Caenorhabditis elegans: one gene and its partner. The protein of the gene in region 2 interacts with the protein of the main gene of each other region in a pairwise test. Each region holds a gene or a part of one and is shown on either strand. Other genes may lie near its edges.

What was found.
Region 1: the proteins of rpt-1 (region 2) and F35G12.12 interact in a two-hybrid assay, tested with the Caenorhabditis elegans proteins (5 studies listed by BioGRID).

Annotation. Positions count from the first base shown.
Region 1 is NC_003281.10:4,580,069-4,584,504, reverse strand, and holds F35G12.12 (26S proteasome non-ATPase regulatory subunit 5), read right to left. Parts: upstream 2,711-4,436; coding exon 2,675-2,710; intron 2,628-2,674; coding exon 2,527-2,627; intron 2,481-2,526; coding exon 2,372-2,480; intron 2,290-2,371; coding exon 2,008-2,289; intron 1,960-2,007; coding exon 1,768-1,959; intron 1,723-1,767; coding exon 1,665-1,722; intron 1,615-1,664; coding exon 1,414-1,614; intron 1,363-1,413; coding exon 1,252-1,362; intron 1,205-1,251; coding exon 1,030-1,204; intron 976-1,029; coding exon 765-975; 3' UTR 612-764; downstream 1-611. Other genes in the region: wdr-48 (WD repeat-containing protein 48 homolog), read right to left, coding at 2,940-3,225, 3,275-3,466, 3,518-3,665, 3,720-3,813, 3,867-3,965, 4,016-4,122, 4,168-4,340, 4,385-4,436.
Region 2 is NC_003283.11:11,979,749-11,984,216, forward strand, and holds rpt-1 (26S proteasome regulatory subunit 7), read right to left. Parts: upstream 2,650-4,468; 5' UTR 2,647-2,649; coding exon 2,571-2,646; intron 2,525-2,570; coding exon 2,421-2,524; intron 2,376-2,420; coding exon 2,145-2,375; intron 2,098-2,144; coding exon 1,555-2,097; intron 1,342-1,554; coding exon 988-1,341; 3' UTR 786-987; downstream 1-785. Other genes in the region: Mannosyl-oligosaccharide 1,2-alpha-mannosidase mans-2, read right to left, coding at 3,395-3,538, 3,586-4,036, 4,086-4,468. UniProt on the Caenorhabditis elegans protein: The 26S proteasome is involved in the ATP-dependent degradation of ubiquitinated proteins. The regulatory (or ATPase) complex confers ATP dependency and substrate specificity to the 26S complex.

The DNA of each region.
Region 1 (4,436 bases), on a different chromosome or scaffold from region 2:
CCTATGTAGAAAAATAAATATAAATTTTCCGAATTTTCAATCATCAAACTTGCAGCTAATTGTGCGGTGCGTCGATAGTGTGAAGAAAATGGGAATTAGTGGGCGTGACTAGCCAATCAGCGGATTGTTGGGTTGGCCACGCCTTCTTTTTTTAAATTGATCAATAGCGGTAACGAGAAAATTATTGTTTTTCTATGCACTTTGGACGCACCATTATAGTCCAAATAACATGAAAGTCCAATTAATGTAACGTTAGTCTATCTAGATAGACTATCTTTCAAACATAAATAAGTCCACTCAATAAGCGATCTCAAGAGATATACATTTTTGACTTACATTTTAACGTTTTATATCGCGGCGAGACCAAAAATTGAATGAGTTTTAAATCAATTCGAAATGAAATTTTTATTTTCTTGGCGGCGAAAATGCGAGAAACACGATAGTGTGTTTTACTTAAATAGCAAATTCGTTTAACCTTCACGTTGTTAGCATTTCATTTTTTGACGCTGAAGCTTTGAAACAATCATTTCAGTTTTCAAAACTCGTTAAAGATTGAAGTAAATGGGATTTCAAACACAAGAGTATATGTAAAGACTTATATTAAAAACATTACATCAATAAATTTCATTAAAACTTCAAACCGGAACATGAATTAACGGCGAACAAGTCATTTTTGAGGCAATAAAATACTGTATTGGAATAATTGAGATGAAAAAGAAACAAAAAATTGAATAGTCAAAGAGATTCAGGATATACAGATCAATCTAAAGAGCCATTTCCTCAACACGCGGAGCAGGTGCAACAGCCGGTTGCAGATATTTCTTGAGACGGCCAATCAGTTCTGGATCAGCTTTGAGTACTTCGGCGCTCTTTGTATTCTCCGACAATTCAATGATTCGATGAATAATTTGACGTTTGCGAATTTCGTATTCTGGATTATCTTCTGATTTATCGTCCAATGCCCAGTCAATGAATCTGAGAAAAAACAATTTTAATAAAAAATCTCGCATAAAAATGTCGTTAACATACCCCTGGAAAGTGATGAACTGATGAACAACTGATGGATATGTGAACAACTGTTGCCAGAAATCATAAATACAATTCTTCATCTCAGGGAACGGCTTCTTAACATTTCCAACTGCTACATGTGTCAATGCTTTTCCACCGAGACGCTCGTACCATGTTTCAGCAATTTTTTCAGTCGCTGAAATTATTAATTTTCAAACATTCCACATAACTAAATAAGCTCACTATTCTGGAAAAGGAGAGTGACGGCCTGAAGAGTTCGACACTTCAATTCCATTGTTCCCATCGTACATGCAGCACCAGCAGCTCCCAAAGTATTCTCAAGATCTTTTGAATCTGAAACAATATGATTTTTAATATCTTGCTTTTGAAAAATTTGGAAAATACCTTTGAACATATCCTCCAAAGTTTCTTTTGCCTCGACAGAGAAGCACATACTGGCAAAATGATCGAAAGCTCCAAGACGACTGACCACACTCAATTGATCGAACATTCTGATTTCGAGCATGAGACGCCGTGCAAGATCAGGGAAATATTTAAGAACTTGTGGGTAGGAACGAGCCATATAACACATGAAACGTGTTCCGTCTGTTGATAAAAATATTGTTAAATATTAATTGAATGAACTGGTAACTTACATAAATACATTTCCCCACCATCTGGAGACTCCTTCGACCATTCCATCAACTCATAAATCTAAAGGAATAACATTAAAAAAACAAATTTATTGCAAATTCAAACCTTTTTGACGATTCCCAATTCGTACAAAGCCTCTGCATTCTGTTTTCCACTAAGTGCAATATCAACGAAAGTGTCCAAAGCATCCAGTTGAGCAAGAACATCTTGAGTATCTAGAACACTTTTAAGAATCTTGTCGTAGAGCCAATGAATGCATGAAGTGTTAGATGAAATGCGAGCTCGTTCAGTAGCAATCTGAACAATTTTTCAATGAATTATCAAATTAAGAATTCAAATAATTACGGAGTAAATACGACTTCTAATGGATGAACTTTCTCTTCCATTGGCAACACTCAGCTGCGATTTGAGCTCTTCATTAATCAAGTCGTGATCCACGAGGTGTGCCATCAGACGTCCAACTTCCTCTCCAGCTTCAGCATCTGTAACTCTTCGAGCAAATGCAACTCCAATTGCAACCGATGATGACTTCAAAAGGGAAATCGCTCCTTCCTTCTCACGGACTGTGCGGACTACATGGCGAAGAATATTCGGATGTGCAGATGGAATGAATTCGAGAAGAATTATCTGTAAAAGATTGAGATATTACAATTTTTATTAGAATTTTTTTTTATTAGATTAGAATAGTCTAAAAATTGATGTCAGGTACCTGATGATCGACAAGAAGATCTTTGGTTGAAATATCTCCAATAATCAATTTTACAAGCTTGCTGGTGCTGAAGTCATCAAAATCAGCAGCGGCCACGTCATCTTCTGTTCTGAAATAATTTCATTTTGATACTATCTGATATTCATTTAACGTACTCCATTTGCTGAGCCGCTTCAATTTGCATCTTTGCAAGTTTTTCCAGAATCTCCCATCCCTTTTTCGAACTGCGTTCTGCGATGTAATCGTTTCTCCACTCCTGAAAAAAATTGGCTTAAAATTGGAAGAAATTTCAATAAAACCTACTTCGATCAGTTTTTCATGTTCTTCCAAACTAGCCATCTGGAACGAATACGGTAGGAGGTAAAAATATTAAGCAAGAAATGAAGATAAGCTGGTAGTTAAACCATCATAATTTTAAAAAAGAAAGAAAGACATATGGAAAGAGCATGGAATTTAATTGAAAGTCGGTTTTACCCGTATCAAAAAAGAAGTTAGACAGTGAATTTTCAATAAAGTACAAATGTTAGATAAGTATGTTCAAATAAATAACTTAAATTAAATGTTAAAGCTATTTAACTGGTTTATAATGTAGAAGAAGCTCTCCACTTTGCTTCCAATAGAGATGCTTGACTGTTCGCAAATCCATATCCGGCTCCAACCTCTGATCATTGCAGTACATTTCCATTTTTGTATGAATTTGATTTAGTGGAATCGAGCCAACTGTAATATCTTCAAACACCATTAATATCTTCTTATTTCTAAATACCTTACCATCATTAGTGCTGAGTATTTTTTCGTAAACATGCTCCATCACTTTCTTAACTTGAAGCATTTCAGTTGCTGACAGACGATCTCTGAAAATAGTTCAAAATTTTAATGAATGAACCCCGCGTTTTCACAAACTTTTTAGGCTGTTTGGGATTTGTCGACGGATGTGGAAGAAGATAAAATGGCATTTTATTGAATTTCGGCAGCTGATTTCGTTCGATTGCGTCTATAACCCACATGGGTGCAATTTGTGCCAGCTCATTTGCTTCGAACTCCTTCCCAGCGTCGCCAACAAGAAGACGGTAGAGCGGACGACCATTTCCTTCGCTGAAATTAGTTTTTTTAATGTTTAAAATTTGAGCCTTCAAATAATTTTACCAAATAATAAGCGGTGTGTGTTCCGGTAGAGAAATAAAATTCAGTGTTGCTTTTTGCACATCATCTGCATCAGCTGCATCAACATTTGTCATTTTACAAGGTGGCCATCGTTCGAAGAGTGATCGTAGCATCATTCCACCGTAATTCACTATAATTTCTTACAAAGGAATGAGAAAGTTTTTATTTTCGTATAATATCTTACGTTTTGTCTCTCGATCATTATCATCAAAACCTGCGTCTTTTGATGAAAGCCACGAGGAGAGAGCGTCCAGCTCGTCCAAAGTGATTTGGAGCATCTGAAATCGAATAGGGTTTTATTTTTCAAAAATTTATAAAACTTAAAACTCACTCCACTTTTTGAATCAACGACAAACCAGCTTGGAATGTATACTTGCCTAGAGTTCTCATCGACAACTTCTTCAAATATTCGCTTTCCATAATCTTTTATCTGAAATTTTATCAAAATTCAAGTAGTAACTTTTAATAATGGGGACAAACCTTTCTTGCTGCTAAAACATCATATAGCGCCACATTTCCATCCGAGTCTCGTGTCAAAACGTGTCGTTTGTCGCTCAACATGGCATGTTTCTTGATGGCAGGAGCGCCTGAATAAACAGATTAAAAATTATATCTGCATATAGTCTGTTTACCAGGAATAACGAGCTCTGGTGTGCTCTGTTGTCCTTTTTGATCCTTCACTCGGATATACTTGAATGTTACTGGAGGTGATGATGAAGCTGATACTGAGTGATTTGCATTTGAAGTTGAAGGACCATCTTCGTCTCCTCCAATCGAAAGTTGGGCTGATGGGCGGATGGACCAGCTGAAAACTGAAAGTTTATTTTTTTAATAAAATAATTCTTTTACCGCTTGATATCAGACTTCCAGGTTCCGACCCAAAGAGATACTGGATTATCTT
Region 2 (4,468 bases):
ATCAATGATAATTTCATGTAAAAAATACCGATAAGAGTGAAGAATAAGGTATTGGGCGAGGTTTTCTAAATAATCATAAAGAGGAATTCGGAGGAACGAAACTTTACAGATCTTAAGAAAGTAGAAGAAAAATCAATTTTGAGATTTTTATTAGTTTTTATGCAGTTTTAATCGAAGGGAAGAGATTCGTTTCAAGAAAACAGAGAGACTCCGATAAACCGCGAGCGATTGCAATTCGAAAAAGACGACCGCAACGCACACGCGCCGCATTCCGAAGAATACAGAATGCAGAAAGCACCATTGTGCGCGAAAGCCGCGATTTGTCGGTTGCTGTGTTTTATAGGATCAGCTGAGTGAGCTGCTGAATTTAGCTTTGCGCTGGGGCGATAACGTGACCAATGAGGCTTTGCCGAGGTGCGTTTATTGCTGGTTGAAAACTTTTCCCAATTGCCCGCGATGTCCCCTGAAACATGGGTGGCATACGCAATTTTTGAACGCCTCTAGGAGGCAGAATATAAATACTGAACAGTTGAACATTTAGTTGGAAAACAGTATCCTTGGAGCATTCAGGGCGCTAGTCAACATTGTAGAGATGAAAAATATATTCCTAGGTAAAGTGTGCACAATATTAGTACCATTAAAATACGCTTGCCAATTTCTTCTATTCTTACTTTTTCTGGCATTACACCGTAATCGCGTTTAGATTACTACTCTTCTTATGAAAAGGTTTTATGGCACGTTTTCAGATTCATTTAAACTGGTGTATACAAGTTTTAATAGTCAGAAACCCAATCACATTTATCCATAAAATCGAAACGAATACATCTGACAGTGTTGGGCCAACTTGGGTGCATCTCACGACGATAGGATGTAATAAATAAGACAAAAATCGGAGACATGGGGAATCTGTACAAAAAAAAATGGGTGGACGGGCGAAAATAAGTTAATCGAGGACCGGAAAGAGAATGAAAACCGAATAGGGTACAATTAATTATGTGTCAGATATCTTGGAGTGGCGCTGAATTTGGCATATCCCTTGACAACCTTATTGATAGCTTCAAGGAAATCTTTTTCAGTTGCCACCTTTCTTCTAGCACGAATTGCAAACATTCCAGCTTCGGTGCAGACTGAGCGAATTTCGGCTCCTGTACTGTTTGGGCACAGACGAGCAAGTAAATCATAACGAATATCTCTTTCAACGCTCATTTGTTTTGCATGAATCTTGAGAATGTGAGCACGACCTGCAAGGTCTGGAAGAGCGAATTCGACTTTACGATCCAATCGACCAGGTCTCATGAGAGCGGGATCGAGAGTGTCCGGTCTGTTTGTTGCCATAAGCACCTGAAAATATCAAATTATTTTAATGAAACACTCATATTTACAATACATGTAAGCATTAATTTTTTGGAAACTTATCAAACGAAAAATGTGTGTCTTTTTTTTTGGATGAAAGGACTGAACTAATGATATAAACTGCCTTCAAGAAAGCAAGAGATAAATAAATTTATATTACAGATTTTTTTGGGTTATTTCCATAAAGAATTAAAGACAAACCTTGATGTTTCCACGTGGATCGAATCCGTCAAGTTGGTTAATCAACTCGAGCATAGTACGTTGAACTTCATTGTCACCTCCTTGTCCATCATCAAAACGAGCACCTCCAACAGCATCAATTTCATCAAAGAAGATAAGACATGCCTTCTTGGTACGAGCCATTTCGAACAACTCACGAACCATTCGAGCTCCTTCTCCGACATATTTCTGAACCAACTCTGATCCAATAACACGAATGAAGCAAGCATCTGTTCGATTGGCAACGGCACGAGCGCAAAGCGTCTTTCCTGTTCCTGGTGGACCGTAGAGCAAAACTCCTTTTGGTGGCTCGATTCCGAGATTAACGTAACGCTCGGGATGAAGAAGTGGAGTCTCGACAACTTCTCGAAGCTTTTCAATTTGATCCTTGCAGCCTCCGACATCCGAATATGTTACATCTGGTTTTTCTTCAACCTGCATCATTGTGACGGTTGGATCAATTTTGGCGGGCAACGGAAGATGAATTTGATACTTGTTACGGTCTACTCCTACTCTCATGCCCTCCTGAATCATTTTTCAATTATGTGTGAAATCTAATTACAATTTCAAACCTCAATATCAGTAGGTGCAACGGAATCAGCAAGGTCTACAACAAACTTAGCGAACTGTTTTACGTTGATCAAGTAACGCGGATCGTGCTTGTCGCTGGTGATAATTTTTGTGCATCTGGCAACTTGGAGAGGCTGTTCTTGCTGCATTGCTTGTTTATCAGCAGCAATATCCCATAGAGCTGGTGGAGCCAACCCGGTGTCTGATTCTTTCACTCCAGAAAGTTCGTTCACCTGTAGAACAATGAAATAAAATTAGGAGCACGATGAAATAAATACCTTCTTCAGACAGTTTTCAATATCCGCGTCCAATGTTTTGAGCTGTTCCGCGTATGGACCTTGCCCGTATCTTTTCAAAACAGCAATGTCTCCTTCGTCGAGAGCTAAATTCAATTTTCAGAATTAGTTTCCTGAACGATATCCACATACCCTGGAAATTCTTCTCTTCCTCCTTGGTATCATCTTTTTTAGTTTTGCGCATGTCATCTCCAAGGTGATCTGGCATTTTCTGCAAACGAACAAATATTTTTAGAAGAAATGAATATGGAAAAAGCTTTGAAATGAGAATCTCTTTTGAAAATTGATGATTTTTCAGTGTCGCCGGACGCGTCGCGTGTCGTCTGTCTGATAGAGCGCGTTAGCATTTCACGCGGGAGAATGAAATTTATGAAAAATATTCGTATGTCAAGTTGAGAAACAAAAGAAATGATTCATCTGCAAGAAAAAATGTATTTTTTGTATATAAATTTAGTGAAAAGGAATTTCAGATGTCCTCGGGGCGCTCTTGAAAAGTTTACTAAAACTTTTTCACATTGTGGAGATTTGTCGTCTGCTGGCAAAATCTTGTAACCAGCCTGCGCTAAATGTTTTATAGTGAATACTAGCATTCTTTGTACAGTATAGAATATGAAATAGCATACACTTATTCTTTAATATCAAATGAAAAAGCTGGAAAAATTGTAACTTGTAGCGACTACATATCCTCCTGGTTTTCTCATGAGTCCAAAAGTTGTCAAAAACATTTATCTTAATTGCTAGAATCAATATGAACCAGTTATAAAAACAAAAACAACGGTTGACCTATAAAGCAAGACACCGGTAAACCCGTGGTCAAATGGGGGGAAGAAAAGCCAAAAAACAGCGGAATTGGTTCGGAAGATAAAAAACAAGTTTCAATAAAAACCTCGTGAGTTCTAAATACAATCAAACCATAAATCACAGTTGTTCAAAAAAAAGATAATAAAAATTAAATTCTAATTAGTTAAGACTGGAACCGGGTGAGCTTCGGTATTAAATACCCATTTATCGAGTGAAATCAGTGATTCGTCTGCAAACGTCAAATAGGCATACTTCAGAAACTCGGCAAGGAAGAAGGATTGCATCACGTCCTCACGGCCCTGAAATTCAGAAATATTCAGAAAAGCCCACAAGTTCAGATACTTACAGCTTTAGGATTATAAACATTTTGTAGACCAGTAAATCCACTATCAACTCTACAGTACTTCTCAATAGCTTGAACAGCATCCCATACCCAATCTCTATACATTGTTTTTCCAGTTAATCTCCATAAATAGAACCATCCTTCAATGACTTCTGGTCTTTGAATATATCCATTTTCCGAGTGTTTACTGGTTGCTTCGTCACGTTCATTGAAGTAGAACATTTCAGGTCCAATGTGGGTCTCGGAACGAATATAGCTTTCATGGCAGGTTTTCGCCAACTCTTCCGCCAATGTCATAATTCTTAATTTCTCTTCTTCAGTATCCTCGTTGATGGCTTGTAGAGCAAACATTCCAGGTACAAAACAAGCGAGATGTCCCATTTTATGTTGAGCTTGACCATTGTTCAACTCAACTGTGTATGTAAGATTTGATTGTTTGGAAACTTTAATCATGCTGAAAATATGAAAATTGTTGGAAAAAGAAATAGAACAATAGAACTCACTGTTTCTGAATAGCATCACTGACGTCCCAATACATATTCTTAGCTTGCGTATCAGTATAATTTGATTGAACATAACTCTTGATAAGATATTCATAAAATGAATCACCAAGTGCTCCAAGGGACATATGACTTCCTGTGAATTTTCCTGTATCCGGATTAATGTAGTTTGAGTAGAGTCCATTAGGTTTTTCAGCTTTTTCAAGAGCATCTCTCACTTTCTTCACTTTCTTCTCAAAAATTGGAGCATTGGAAATTCTACTGAGATACAGGAATTCAAGATGAAGACTTCCAATTTCGGAAAGAATTGATTGTCCTCCATTAGCCCATCCATAGTTACTTGCATGTTTTGATGCTACATCCAAATTACTTTTTGGAATTCCAGA